Rhinolophus ferrumequinum: one gene and its partner. The protein of the gene in region 1 purifies or fractionates together with the protein of each later gene. This does not show direct contact. Links are inferred from orthologs where the notes say so. Each region holds a gene or a part of one and is shown on either strand. Other genes may lie near its edges.

Region 1 (7,991 bases):
GTACCAGAAAGAATGGAGCTATACACAGACAGAACTACGGAGCTCTGCAGAAAGAGCCTCTCAAGATTTGGGCTGAGTACTGAGCTAAAACATACACATGAGGATACTATCAAGGTTGAGGAAAGAACCATTTGAGAGGAGTAGACGGAACGATTTTCCAGTGGAGGAAAAGCCATTTTGGCGGACAGGGTAGCAGGATTCCAGATGGCCGATTTCCTTTTATTGCTGTTTGTTCTTTAGTCCCTAGCAAATTGTAGAGCCAAGTGATTACAAATGTGAGGTCATTTGTTACTTTGAACATGAGCCTCAGTTAAGAATTTTGCCCTTGTGTTGACTGCAAGAAGCAGCAGAATTTTTCTAACACCATGGTTTTCTTAGACCAATCTGTCAGGCTCAACTCTGTGTCCTCAGTTCTCAGCAACCCGTATGGCAAAGGGATTGTCTTACCAAAAGATTTTGAGGAATCCCTAAGGAATGGTTAAGTGAGCCACATATCCTCCCTGGAAATGACTATCGCTTTTGCAGGGGTCCTTGTTCCAAACCACTGCTGCTCTTGAACTTTGCCAGCTCTCCTCCAGGCTCTGCACACGGCCCCCATCCCAATGCATAAAGATCTCCTCACTTTATTCCCCAAAGCTCAGCTCAATCCAGGCTATTTAACAAGACACAGAGGCACAGACATAAAAACAAAGAGTAGTCCACTACTGTCACTAGAAGTGGCTATTCTTCAGATTCCTGATAAGGCAGAGCCAATTCAACCTGCGCCTTTCCCCCCCAACTCCCCACAGGACTCCCCAGACTGTCACATCTTGAAATCCTAATGCCAGCAATAGGCATGGGTCCAAAAGAAAGTCTTTCTTTTTCAGTTCAAGGCCTGCTTCTTTCCACTCTAGAATGTCTGACTGAACAATTGATTATCTTTTCCTTAGGAGGAAAACTCACCTCCACCTTGGCCTGGTTGATGCAATCCCAGGAGTCATTGACACTTTCCAGACTTGGGATAATTTGGCTTTACATAACACCACTTGTGAGATACCAGTGGTTCAGGCCAGTTCTCTTATGCGAGGTATGAAGGAAGCATTGGCACCCTCTTCAGGATGGCTCCAGTTTTGTGATCACCTGTAAGCAAACAGATAAAAACATACATAAGTTTCCTGAAAACAAATAAGGATTTTAGGAGACATTCCAGTTCATATTCTTATTTAGGGGAAAGAAGTGATCTCTCTCTCCCTGGAAGGGCACTGTCTTGCGAACGACGCAATTTATATTAATAATAAATAAACTAACCCCAGGATCTCAGTCTGAAACATCTGAATTTTGGTTAATGGTCATTCCACAATTATCTTTATGTATGTATAGAGGACCCATGCTAATGATGAAAGGCAGATTGCTTCCAAATGTCTCTGAGAAAAGGCAGATTGCTTCCAAATGAATTTATGTCTTGCCTTCTAGAAATACAAAACTGCAATATAAAAGTTTCATTTATTGGGCACCCTTTAAAATTTATGACTACAAAGAGGAGTCTGGCCTAGGCTCAGAAATAGACTCTTTCCCCTCTCTTTACTAGTAACTTAAAATATCTGTATTTTTTCTTTCTTAAGCCCTAAATCTTACCCCCATACTTTTTTTCCTTCCTTGAACCAATCTTTCACATTTAATCACACACAGGAAAGAATATAGTATCAAAACTACTGAGCTTCCAAAGGTAATATTTTATAACTAATATAATGTCATCAGAAACAGGATGTGAAAGAAGTTTATATGAAGGGTCAAAATCAGATTTAGGAACCTCAAGAAAAGCCTGGGGTAGGGGGGAGTCTAGAAAACCTACTTCCCAACTTCTCTTTTCTCATTCTCTCCTCACTTAACATCCTCCATATGCAAGTCGGGTTTTTCAATCTGTGGTCTGTTACCCTCTGGGAGTCTTGTATTTCCAAGGCACTATGAGTCTTCCATGAGAATTTTTAAACTTTGTGCTTTAAGTTTTATAATATAAGCATATTAGCATATTTTGGATCATCTGAATGAACACTTTTATTTTTGAATGATCTTGTGTTTAAGTTTACAGTTGAATTGGTGTCACATTATACTCTGAAGTTAGCATTTAACTTTTAAGGCAGTGTTGCCTGGCCTGGGATCCCTTGAATTCCTTGAATCTACAGAAATATGTCTTAGTGGTTCACAATTTCTCATATTTGAAAAACACAGGCTTAAATCACCTTCTCCTCTTTTCTCCTTTCTGTTTTGGGAGGTAATTGGAAAGAGGCTCATGAGAAGCTAATAGAAACGGACAAAAGAGGTTTTAAAAATGCCTCATATTTTCAATTTATCTTTGATGTTTGACCAATTTGGGAGACAAAATATAATCAATCTAGTGATTTCTTTAAAAAATAAAGCAAAGGTGATACTGGGATACATAATTGTGAATATGTGTAAGAATTACCAAATGCTTAGAATTTGTTATTTTCTATCCACAACAAACCAATCCCATAGCTTTATCCCTTGTTGTAGAATGAACTTGGTATATATTTTAGAGACCCCTTTTTTTTTTTTAATTCAGTCCAGCCCCTAAAATAGATGTTCAGGAGCTGCTTTTGTTACATGTGTTTGATTAGGCAGATTTTTGAAATGCATAGTTTAAAGACAGGCTCAAGATGGAATACCAATCTGAATACCAATACTCATTCTCAGATGGAATACCAATCTGAGAATATAATGTTTTGGGTTTTTATTTCATTAAAAACATTTTTTTTTCCTATCAAAGCATGAAAACTTTGTTTGTGTTCTTGGAAGTATACTGTAGTGGTTTCGGGGGAAATGGAGATGGAGTGGAGAGAGGATAATCTTCATATTCTTTGTCTCTTTTCCCACCTGTTTGCATGAGCCCCCTTAGTATCTCCATTTCCCCTCTCCGACACACCATTGCTCTCCCAATGCCTCACTCTTTCCTTGAGTCATATTTTCTTTTCCACTTTTTTCCTTGTCTATTTGTCTTCCATTTTGTTTCAGGCAATCTATTTTTTGTGAACATCATTTAATAATTTAATGTTATTTCCATCCCTTATTTAGCATGTGTTTGTGGATACTTAATCAATGGTAGTCTTTTGGTTGACTAACAATATAACATTTATGCAAACTTGGCAATTTATATTCAGCTCCTCTTATCCCTAAAGCAATTTGGAAAAGTATGTATTGTATATCTGTTTTATAGATGAGGAACTGAGCCTGAGAGAGAATATGTTACTTGTGAAAGACCACGTAGCTAATATTATGTCAAAACTCATGCTTTTTTCATTCTTAAAAAAATTAAAAAAGAGAAGAGGCTTATGTTCTTTTAACACTGCCTTTGTCAGAAATCTCATCCAGGATCATGATGACCTACAGTCCTAATTAACATCTTCTTCTACCCATATAGTCTAACTTCAACCCAGTATTTTCAATATTTGTGTATGTAGTTGTCACCTTAAAATGAACCAACCATTTCCCCCTCCCCCGCTCCCCAACTAGTACCCTCTCACCACCACACCATTTTGTTAATGGCTCCACCAGTTTTTGTCATTCAAGGTCAAAATCTTGGTGTTCATTCATTCATTCAACAAATATTTAAATACTGTTGAGCACATACAAGAATTGTGCTAGGGATGCTGGCGCGGTTTACAACAGTAAGTTTGATGCAGTTTTTGCCTTCATAAAGATTTATAGTCTATCAGGAAAAAAACAAGTGGGGACCCAAACTAATGTAGACTTCCTGAAGGAAGTGATGATAAAAGGGTGGGGGTGGGGTGGGAAGGTTTATTCCATGGGTGACAGCCTGAGAAGAGCAAACGCAGCTTTAGAGGAACCCAAAGACATATTGCTGAAGCACTGAGTGGTAGTGGAAATGGAAAGCAGGAGAGACATGCTAGAATCGGTTCAAGCATGAAGGGTCTGGTAAACTATGTTAAGGAATTTGGAGTAGGTCTCTTGAAGAGCAGGAGGAAGCCATTAGTTTTGTATTTTAAAAATCAATCTGCTTATAGTTTGGAGAATTTTTCCTTTTCATCCCATCCCCTGAATCCAATCTATTGCTAGGAGTTCTTACTGTCTAATTTGTTCCTTCATCTCTATTCCCACTGCCACCACCCTAGTCTCAGCCCTCCCACCTCATGCTTGGATTAAGAGCCCTTTAACCAATTATTCTCCAGAGCCTGCCCCCCCCCCCATCTATACTGCACACAAAGACTAGCCTAACAGCCCTAAAATGCTATACCAGGATAACAGTTAAGTCCAAATCACCCATCTTGCTTGCCACTTACTACCATCTCTATCCTTATTTAATACTAATACTTAAAATCACTTTCGAACGAGGCCAATCACTTTCCTCAAAAATCCTCCCCAATGCATTTTAGTCTTTCCTCACCCCTGCAACCTCCTAACGTTATTCCCTTCTCCCCCAGCATAACGCGCTCCTGAGGATTCAAGCAACAGTGCGTCCTCCTCGCCTTTGATTTCTTCCCATCTAGCATAAAATGTGCCAAACATTTCTGCACTGCATTAACTCGACTGATGTCATAGAGGTCGTTTTCTCTTTTGTCATAAAAGACTCTTCCACATTCTACTCGAACAGGCCTCATAAGGCCTGGCCAGGTACTTCGTGCGCTCGGAAAAGCTAGTCAACTTGAACTGAACTGAATCGGCCGGGGTTTGCGGAGTCTGAGTGTGCGGTGGAAGCCGAGGGTGGGGGGGAGGCCTGACACACTAGAAGATGGACCGGAAGCGCCGGGTCCCAAACAAAAGAGTTTCACACAAACATGCGAGAGACCAGGGTAGGGGAGCAAACACGGGGGACAGCAGGAGACCGCTACGCAAGACCAGCCGCCTTGGGGACCGAGGGAGTCAGGCTGCGGCCGTTGGTGGGCGTGGCCGCGCCAGTCTCGCGGCAGCGACGGTTGGGCGGGCCGTTGTCCCCGCGGGCGGGGCGAGTTGCTAAGGAAATGACTGTCTGCAGCGCCGTGCCGCGCCGCCCCGCGCCGGCCGGGCGGGGTCTGGAGCGGCGCCGTTTCCGCTTCCGCCCCGTCTCCGTTTCTAGTCCCGTTACCGCCTCCTGGCCGGCCTCGCGCCTTTTACCGGCACCTTGCGTCGCCGCGCCGCTGAAGCCGCTCCTGCCATACGCGACCGCAGCGCTCCCGGCTCCGGCACGGGTCGCGGCCCGCTCACCTGCCCCTGAGGCCGCCGGCCAGCCGCCGCCATGGGTGCCTACCTTTCCCAGCCCAACACGGTGAAGTGCTCCGGGGACGGGATTGGCGCACCGCGCCTGCCGCTACCCTACGGCTTCTCCGCCATGCAAGGCTGGCGTGTCTCCATGGAGGTGAGGCGGGAGGGGCCCATAGGCTGGCCGCTGCAGGGCGGGAACCCGTTGGAAAAAGGGAGCGGGGGGGATGGGGTCATTCCTGGGGAAGGGTCCAAATCGAGACTGCGGCCTCAGCCGCAGTTTGGGGGGGCGGTACCAAGAGCGGGCCTGGTGCCGAGAGGGAGCTGCCGGTGCTTGGGGACCGTATGTCTGTGGCCAGCTTGGCGGCGAGGTTTTGGCCATGTGGGGAGAGGCACCTTCCGCCCACTGACTGCCCTCTCCCCGTGCCTTCGCGCCATCGCTCTCGTGCCAACCCAGCCCTCTAGGCTCATAAACGGTGTGACGTTTTGTGTGGGAGTAAAGATGAAAAGAGGGACTGTTTATTCATTTACTTTTGCGAGGGATTAGGCGAATAGATGTGAATGACGGTACTTGAAATTAAAAAAAAAATTTAAATACGTGAGAGGCTTCGTTGGGCTAGGAGTTTGACAGTGACAGAAAGCCGGGGCACATAGCCTGTTTCAACTCAAGTTCTTAACGCCTAGTTGCCTGGCCCTGGGCACCGCATGTTAGTTTCAGAAGGTTCCACCTGACCTCCAAGAATTGTCACTCGTTTGTATTCTCATCAGGGCCTTTTACGGCCTTTGGAAAACTTGAAACGAGTCAGTAGTACTCCTTTTTTAACAAAAAATATGCTTGATATTTTCTCGGGATTTTTCGAAAACTTACTCAGTAATTTGCCATTTGCCTGTTCTTGTTGTTAATAGTTTCCATGATTTTTCAATCATTTCATCAATATATTTTTGTCTTAACCTGCAGAGAACTGATTTTTTTCTAGAAAACTTCACTGGTTAAAAGGAAAAAGTCTGGATAAAAAGGAGTACTATAGGCAAAATGGATGTGAAACTACAAAGGAGAACAGGGCAAACTATGGTAGGAAGGAAAGGAAGAAAGAGGTGTAAGATGTGTTTTTGTAAAGAGGATTGTTTGATCTAGGCAGAGGGGCCAGGGAAATGCTCTAATTATGTCTGGGATTGAGGGTTTATCCACTTACTAGGTGGGCTTCAGGTAACAGCCAAATACGGTCTCCCTTGGGAATTTCTTTAAATCCCTCGCTCCTCCCTGTGGTTAGCTCTGGAATGACAGTATGTAAACTTAAAGGTTTGTTTCATACTCAAATTTTATACCCACAGCAGAGTTTAAAAACAGTTTTATCATTAGGTATAAATTTCAAGATAGGAGGGGATCCTATAGTTCATCTCGTTTTGGCTCCTACATTTTACAACTCAGAAGTTGAGGCAAAGAAAGGTTAGGACACTTGTGCTTTGGTGGAAAGAATTTCTAGGATGAAATTGTTCCAAGACACTAAACATTTATAATCTGTGTTAACCTGAAGTATAACGTTCAGATTTCACTGGTGCACAGTATCAAGCTTACTTGGTACTTGGTAAATGTAATTGACTGTTAGAAATATGCGAATATAGTTTGAAAAGGAAAACATTTATGCAAGGCTGGGGTTTGGGTTAGTTGATAGTTTGGAGGTTCTATTTCTATGGCATTTTCTGTTAATGTAAGATTTGAAGTGACTTTCATCTCAGTAAGGCTTTTCCTTCAGGTTCCTCATTCTGTATTTTCCATTTTCCTCTTTGCTGTGGTTTTTCCATTTCTTTAGTACTCTTCTCTGGTTTTCTTTATGAATTGAGTTGCTTGGATATTCAGTTTTCCAAGTTATTTGCCTAGTGATTCTGTGCCCTTTGCTGCTTCTCTGCAGGGCATTTCCCTTTATTTCTCCTCTGGTAATTAGAAAATGACTTTTTCATCAGGGGCTGTTTGATTTTTAGAGATCTTGTTAGACTAGTCCTTAGATCCTAATGTTCCTCCTGAGAGGTAACCACTCAGGGTTTTAAAATCTTCCTTTTACATTGTTTCTGAATTTACCTTTGAGTTGTTAAAAATACCTAATCAAATCATCTTGAAGCCCTGTTTGAGATGCTTTTCTGCTTCCTCAATACTTTTCCTTCTGGCTTTGTTTCCTTTCTCCCCAATGTATATGATAGTTTCTTTGGAATGACAAGAAAATAACTATGACTTCTAGACTCGTATCTGTGAATCTTAACTTTTCACAAAGTGTACTTCTGTTCCTCTTAACCTTTAGGGTGTAATTCCACCAATTAAGCCTGTTTGCTTGATCCTAAAGATTCAGTTGAGGTAAGTTTATTACATTAATACACATTACAAAGGTTGCTAAAATCCTGACACACAAATTCAGCTTTAGAGAGTATTATTTTATCCCTTCTCTTGAGGCAAGGATGGCAACTATCAACAGCTGGCATTTTATACTTTCTGCCTCTCTCCAGCCCCTGTTGCTGTGGAACCAGGGTGTTTTGAGGAGGGGTAATCAAAATACCACAGTTGATGTTCCCTTCCCTTCCTCCTTCTCCATGGTTTGGAGGGACCCTCAAGCTGGTTGAGGTATGTATTTTGGGGGCTATGAGGTAGGTTGTGGAAGGGTGCCTGAGAAATACATATGGAAAGGCTGTGTTTTTGGTGGCTATTAAGTCCAATCTGAAAACAGTTTTAGTTGATGCAGTCTTAAAGGGACAAAGGTACTTGTAGTTTTTGGTTGTGAGGTTCTCTGGAGTGACAAAATTCCTTTCTATGG
Region 2 (7,610 bases), on another chromosome or scaffold:
GTTATCTGAAAACAATTCTGATCCATTAATGGGAACAGACAAGCTGAACTGAGAAAGATTTAAATCAAATACAATTTTTATCAAGTGAAGGTTTGAGCCCAGCAATCTGTATTATAACTCTATGCCGTGCAAACGACAAAAAAGCTGACAAAAGATTTTTCTTGTTCCTTAGGCTATATGACCAAAGAGAGCAAAGTTACTTACGTAATTCTTGACTTCCCGTCGAGCGTTAGCATCAATAGCAAGCCATCTCTGCTGATATTGTGCCTTGATATCTGGATCTTTAGATGTCAAAGAGTTCTTGATTTGTAGACCAGCTGCAACTCTGGCAACCTGACTGTTTCCTGGATTTGCTAGCACTCTGGACAGTTCCACAAGGAAAGTGGGCTGTTAAAAGAAGCAGCATCCATGAATGGAAATATCTCTTGAGAATTTCACCAACTGAGAATAGCTTATGGAACACCAAAAACACTGAGAAAACCTAAATTTTTTAGAATGTATCATAACGACTCAGAAAACTCAAAAATAACTTTACGACTCCTATAAAAATGTTACTTAATACATTGAAGAAGTCATCCATCTACTCAAGGAGCCTCAGCATTTAACAAGTAATTACAGATTTTCCTACCATCATCATTCTTAGTGCCCTATTCTTCACATTAACACCCCTAGAAATAAAGCAAGTTTGACAATCTGGTAGTCAGAGGGTTTTTCTATGTCCCTAGAACAGTACTCGACAAATATTTGTTGAATGAATTACGTTACCATTGGGTAGAAAAATTTTTCTAAATTAAAAAAACTTAAGTCCGAATGGAATGATACTCAGGGTGGCTTTTGATCTCATGAAAGCAGGTACTCTTGTATGAGAGGGAAATACTTATAAATCTAAAATATAGACTTAGGAGGCCAGTCCTCTGTATTTCAGTTGAGTGTTCAGCAAGAGGCGAACAATGAATAAAGCAGATTCATAAGAAAAAAACTGGCAAACATTTAGAAACGGGAAAACTGAAAAGATAAAAATGTCAAGGAAAATGGTTTTATATTTAAGAGCCACCAGTTAACACTCAAGTCTCCTATACATTTTCTACTTGAGTTGTCCACTAAAAATAGTGGATTTCTAAACAGCATAATCTTTTGTAATGCAGATCCCCAAAACTACTCCCATTATTAAAAAATGTAACACACTCCTCTACCTTGCAAAAAGCTGTCTAAAAGCTTTGCCTGAAGTTATCAGGAAAACCAAAAGCAGATAGTTCCTTACCATTAACAAGTTCTGCAATCACAGAAGGTAAATCTTAAAAGTTTTATTAATTATGTACCACTAAGTAATGTTAGGAATAAGGTAAAAGGCTTCTTGCAAGTTAGCAAAAGCAGAAACAGGAATATACCCTAAATGGAAATGTTTTCAGTCGAAAAAATCCTTTCTATGGAAAGTTAAAGAAAAAAAGGTTAGTAAAACCTAGCACATAAAGGGGGGAAAAAATCAAAGACAGTTTGTATAAAATATGCTGTCCCTTTTTTTTTTTGCTTATTTGCCTAGGTAACACAAAAGAACACATCTGGTTACAGTGTTATTTAGACTTACTACCTATTAGCTTTAAAGATGTCAAGAAACATCCACCCTTCCCTCTGCTCCCCATCCTCCCAACAGGAGAGGAACACCAAAGAGAAACTGTTGGCACACAGGTTATTTCAACCAATCCATCCCACATTTTTATGCAGAAGTCCGGTCTCTAGTGGACTTAGCTTCATTTTTTCTGTACCCCTTAAATTGAAAATATTTAAAACGAGGAACTTTTCTCTGTGATTTCATCTGGAAACAGTTCCGATCTCAAGGATGAGCTCAGCGTGTTGTGTGGGTACAGATTAAGTCTTTACTCATCCAAGTAAAAGAAAGAAAAAAAATACCCCGGGAAAAGAAGGAAAAGGAGAAATATTGTCGGAATGGGTCAAGAGGCATTCGGGTGCCAGGCCTGGCGATGAGCAGAGACCAAGGGAGATAGGAAAGGGTAGAACTCTGAGAAGTAGGTGGAGAAAAATCACAGGGGCCACGGGACAGGAAGGAGAAGCTGGCCCCAGTCAGAACAGGGAGGGCAGCTGGGCTCGGAGCTTCCACATGGCCCCTAGGCCCGGCTCCCCCACCCCCACCCTTGCTGAACACGCAGCGCGGCGCAACCTAACTTCCCTTCCCTCCCTTTTTCTCCCTCCCGCTGCACCGCCGCCCACAGGCCGCGCGGCGATTGGACAGCAGTCACCCCGGCGCGCCGCGCCATTGGCCAGCTGCAGGGGCTCGGGGCGGGACACACCCACCGGCTTCCCGATGGCGGGGTTAGGTTGGACCGGGTGGGGGGGAGGGGGACGGGATGGGGCGGGGTGGGTTCCCGAGGCCTGGGCCTCCGGGAGGGCGGGAAGGCCCGCACGCAGGGGATGGGGAGACCGCGGGATGGGGGACGGCGGGATGGCACGCACCAGGTTCTCCACGGCCGCACGTTCCAGGAACTTCTGCGCCGCTTCCAGTTCCAGCCGATCTGGGGAGAAGTGGGAAAGGGGACAGGGTCAGAGGAACCAGGGCTTCCCTTCCCCCCCACCCAATCACCTCAGCCCGACCCCCGGCCCCCGCGTCCTACCGGGAGACACGGTCTTCTCGAGGATGGTGATCAGCTCCATGGCGGAGGTGGCGGCGGCGACTCCTCCTAAGACGTCGGCCCGGCCTCTCGGGCGGCGGCTCTAACTGGGGATGGGGGTTGGGGGTCGGGTGGGAAGGGAGGGTGGGGTGGGGGGCGGGGGTCACCACCAGCCCATTCACCGGCTCCCTCTTGGTAGTCGCTCCGGCTTCCCTTCCTTCCTCCTTTCCTTCCTTCCTCCCTCCCAATTTTCTGCTGGCGGCGGCGGCAGCTGCTCCTCTGGCGGCGGGGGAGGGACCCCGGGGGCAGCTCAGAGCGCGGCTGGTGCTCTGGTGGCGGAGGGAGAAAGAAGGAAGGGAGGCGGTAAGTGAACGGCGGCTCGCAGGGAGGGAGAGAGAGGGAGGGAGGAAGGCGGAGGGATATTCGGGCCGGACCTCTCCGCGGCGGCACCGCGCTCCACATCGATTGGCTGCCGCCGTGGCCACGCGGTATCTCCCATTGGCCAGGCGGTCAGCGCTGCAGGGCTGCCCTGCACCCATTCGCCCGCTGGTTTCAAGGCCCGGGTTGGCTGGGCGGGCTCCGGAATGGGGCACATGGATTGGCCGAGGGGAGTGAAATCGGGGTGGGGCAGGCCAGAGCCGGCTGCTGATTGGATTGGCCTGGTAAGGTCCTTGCGCTCAGACCGGCTGAACGTTGGGAGGAGAGTGGACCGAAGGCGAGACTCCGGGCTTGCGTGATTGGTTGGGATACTAGGCGTTGATAGGATAGGGCACCGGGGAGAATTGGGGAGAGTAGTTCGGGGTCGGGGCCGCGGAAAGGCGGCAGGCGCCCCGCCGCTGTAGGAGCCCAGCGCGGGGCACGATGGGACGCCCCCGGGAGGGGGCGGAGCTGTGTTCGGGCTGCGGTTGGGAAAGCGCAGTCACTCGGAGGGGCGTGTTGAACAGTTTCGCGGGCTTGAGCGGGGGAGGGGAGACCGTTAAAGCCCTGCACCGCTCCCACAGGAAACTGCTTTAATGGCTAAGCCTCATTGGTACCAGGCTTGTGGCTGGTTAGGACCTTGAAGACCATGCGGTTTAATTTCCAATTTGCAGATGTGGAAACTGAAGCCCAGAGAGGGTACGCGACTTGCGCACGGTTGCACAGCTGGTTAGTGGCCTGCTGGGGACTGGACTCAAGCGCACTGAGTGCCCTTGGCTTTACACCCAGCTTCCCCCTCCAAGGAGGTGAATGCTAATCACTTCCCTCAGATCTATTTATGGGGTTTGAGGTCTGTGCTGCTGTAAGGTCTAATTCACGTGGCGTGGGCATTTGATTTCCTCATAGACCCCCATTGTAGCTACCAGGTACTTGAAGGAATGAAAATGTCTCATTCTGCAAAGGTGCCTTTAAAGGCACAACCGTGAACCAGAAAGAATGCTTGTACAGGCTTAAAGGATCGTGGTTCTTAGCCTTTTTAAGTTCTAAGCCCTGGAAGAAACTAATGAAAGCCTTTCCTTAGCAAAATGCTCATAAAGAAAATGTGCATACAGTACAGTTCTTGACTTCCCCTGACATTGGTACATGGACTCCACGTGAAGAATTTCCTGAATTGTTACATATGATACATGGTTAATTGGATGTAGATACTAGCTTATAGACCTCTTCATCATGCAGCTTGAGCTTGTGGAGTAATTGCCCTACTCTAGCCATTCTGGGAAAACCTAGGAGGAACTGTTCTTACTGAGAGGTTCCACCCAAGAATTAGGCAAGTTTGGCCATTTATCTTTAATCCTTAAAAGAGGAAAAGCTATTTCTCTGCTAGAGATACCTTTGAAATTCTGAAGCTGACGTGTGGGAACGCGAGGCTCACCATCCTGTGACTAGTTGATTTCCTATGGCTTAGCAGTCCTAACCTCAGGCTTTGCTTCATCTAGTAACTGAGGAAGAACTGCCCTGTGTGTGTAACTTCATTAGGAATCAATGAAGGTTAAGTGAGATGACATCCATGAAAATCTTTGAATTGTCCTTATGTGGATTACCCATACTCCAAATGATCCACAATTTTGTCTTACTCCGAGCCTTCTGCCCTCTAGCAGTTTGCTGAGCCTTCTCCTCTGCGCAACATCAGTCATAATACCAGTAAAGGCAAGTGGATTGTTTTTTTTACCCTTCTTCCGCTTCCCCCCCCCCCCCCCCCCCCCCCCCCGCTCTGGTTCAAGCCGTTGTTTCTCAGTCTAGTTGTGTAGGACACAGTCCCTGGCCCATGCTGGTATTATGAGTCTTGCGCTCCCCCCCCCCCCCCCCCACTGAGGCAGTCGATTGCCAGTCGTTGGTCGGCCGGCCGCTCACAGCAGCTCATGGCAGCTCTCGCCGGCTGCCGGCCGCTCATGATGGCTGCCGGCCACTCATGCTGGCCACCAGCCGCTCATGGCAGCACACAGCAGCCCAAGCTGTCTGCTGGCCACTCACGCTGGCTGCCGGCCACTCACGCAGGCCACCAGCTGCTCATGGCTGCACACGATGGCTGCTGGCCACTTGGCAGCTTATGCCACGCTCCGGCTGCTCACGGCAGCCTAGTTCCAGGGCGAGCTGCTGGTCACAATCTTAGCTGTAGAGGGTGCAGCTCACTGGCCCTTGTGGGAATCGAACTGGCGACCTCTGCCTGGGTGTTAGGAGCACAGCGCTCCAACCACCTGAGCCACCGGGCTGGCCCGCAAGTGGATTTTTAAAGCAGCTGGACTAAAATGCTGGGAAGATAAATGCTTTGCAGCAAAGTTCCAGTCAAATATAAGATCCTTACCAAAACCCAAGTGAAATGATTTTTTAGTTCAACTAAGGTTACTGATGGTGCTGTCTAGTCTCTATCAAATCACTCAACACTCTTCATTTCAGCAGATGCTAGTGAGTCACCGAAGTGTGAATGTAGCACACAGACTCCAGAAACTGACTTCCTGAGTTCATATTCCAGCTCTGCCACTTCTTAGCTTATGTGACTTAAATTGCTTACTACGTAAAATGGGGCTAATTATACCTTCCTCATACAGGGTTTTTGGGAGGTCCTGAGTTAATACATGTTCAGTGCTAGGAACACTGCCTGGTGTGTTATATGTTATATATAAATTGGCTATTTAGCATGTATGTTGCACCAAGCAAGTAGTTCGTGGTCCTTGGCCCATTAAGGAAGATCGTCTAATCAGTTAATCTCACAAACAAATGTTAAGTTGTAAAAGTGACAGATGCTAAGGACTGACCTAGTTAGGGGGCTCAGGGAAAACTTAGCTGAGAAATAGAAGAGTGTTATTCAGGTAGAGAAGGGAGGAACAGCATATGCAAAGGCCCTGTGGTAAAAGGGAGCTTGGGGATTCTAAGGACGAACTGGAAGAAGGCCAGGGCCTCCAAAATACAGAACAAGAGATTGAGATAAAGCCAGATTATTGAGTAGGGGAAAGCCCATATGAGACCTTGTATCCTATTTTGTCTATATCTTAAGAGCAAAGAGCAGCCATTGAAAGGTTTTAAGAAGGATGCCTGTAGATGCAGGGATGCAGGGAGACCAGTTAGGAGGCCATTGTAACCAAATAAGGGATCATACTTGTAGAAAGGAGAAGGGTAGAAAGAATAGTGGAAACAGAGATAGATATCAAAGTTAATTGAACTTGGTGACTGATCGAAAGAAGTGTCAATGTCACTGGTACCTATTTGGATTTCTGGTTTGTATTATGAAATGGATGGTGATGCCATTTAGTGTTTCTCAAGTGGGAAGAATTGGAGTCCACATCGTTTAAGAATGAGAAGTACAAAGGAGGCTTTGAGTTGTATTTCTTGAGCTATTTATGAAGTAATGGGTTTTGTTGTTACTCTATAACTTTTGAATGTCAGGAATATTCATGTCTAATAAACAAATTCTGAAATTAAAGAGAATAACTCGTTTCCGTTTTACTCTGTCACTTCCTGCTGTAAGATCCTGAATAATTTACTTAACATTTTGGATCTGTGAAATGGGAGAATGTCACCGCACTGTTGGGTGGTCTAAACAAAACCAGGAGCCTCTCTGTGAGGTGCTTGTGCCAGGAGGTACTCACCAGTACCTGGTAAGCAAGTGAATTGGTGAATGGTCGAGCTCAGCTGCAGTTTCCCCACCCAGGTCTCCCACACACACACACACACACCCCGCCTCCCAACCCACAGCTCGTATATGAGAAGACTGCCAGAGGAGAAGCAGTCAGGCTGAGACCTGGTGCTCTCTCCTCCTGCGTAAAGCTGACTGACCTGGAGAGGGGTTAAACCTTGGCCTCATTAGCGCTGAGGAAGAATGGAGGTGACTATGACATCCGCAAGGCTGAGTGTCCCTCTGCTTAGTGACGATGGGGCAAACATCATAGCCATTTTCCTGACTTTTCACACACTTCTAAATAACAGACAAGGGAGAGAAAGGAGCCAAGAAGACGTTGCTATTATCTTCAATACCCATAAGCAGAATATTATCATAAAAGAATTCTCGTCTCCCCTGGCCTTGCCTGTGCTCACTAGGCTCTAGCCTTCTTTTCCTTTAACACACCATGATCTGTGAGTCTCCTGATTTTGTGATTTGCTGTTCTAGCCCATTATTCCTGTCGCATATCAGGTGTCACTTCTTCAGGCCTTCCCTGGCTACTCTAAGGGCGTTCCGTGGATACTCCTTAGGACAGGACCCTATTTGATTGTCTGCAGAACATGTCTCAAAACCTGAAATTATCTTTTCTCTGCTGTCAGTCCCCACCCCCACTAGAATGCAAGTTCCATGAGAGCAGGGATCTTGTCTGTCTCGTTGGTTGCTAAAATTGTGCCTCACATATCAGGTGCTCACATATTTGTTAACTGAATGAAGCGTGTGTAACTAAACATGCAACGATCCCTTATGGCCCATGAAAAGTGACTTTGTGAAAGGCACTTCTTTTCCAGAGTTATCCGTACTTGCCCCACATGGACCTTGGTTCCCATCAAGCCAACCATCTCACTTGATCCTAA

Evidence for each region. Proteins that work in one complex are often made in the same cells at the same time.
Region 2: the proteins of PPM1G (region 1) and KPNB1 purify together in Homo sapiens (affinity purification with mass spectrometry; 3 studies listed by BioGRID and IntAct, with this or other methods). This does not show direct contact. The link is inferred for Rhinolophus ferrumequinum from reciprocal best matches to the Homo sapiens genes PPM1G and KPNB1.

Annotation. Positions count from the first base shown.
Region 1 is NC_046296.1:53,289,371-53,297,361, forward strand, and holds the start of PPM1G (protein phosphatase 1G), read left to right. Parts: upstream 1-4,971; 5' UTR 4,972-5,227; coding exon 5,228-5,347; intron 5,348-7,991.
Region 2 is NC_046304.1:35,252,894-35,260,503, forward strand, and holds the start of KPNB1 (importin subunit beta-1), read right to left. Parts: upstream 3,010-7,610; 5' UTR 2,668-3,009; coding exon 2,628-2,667; intron 2,529-2,627; coding exon 2,470-2,528; intron 388-2,469; coding exon 205-387; intron 1-204.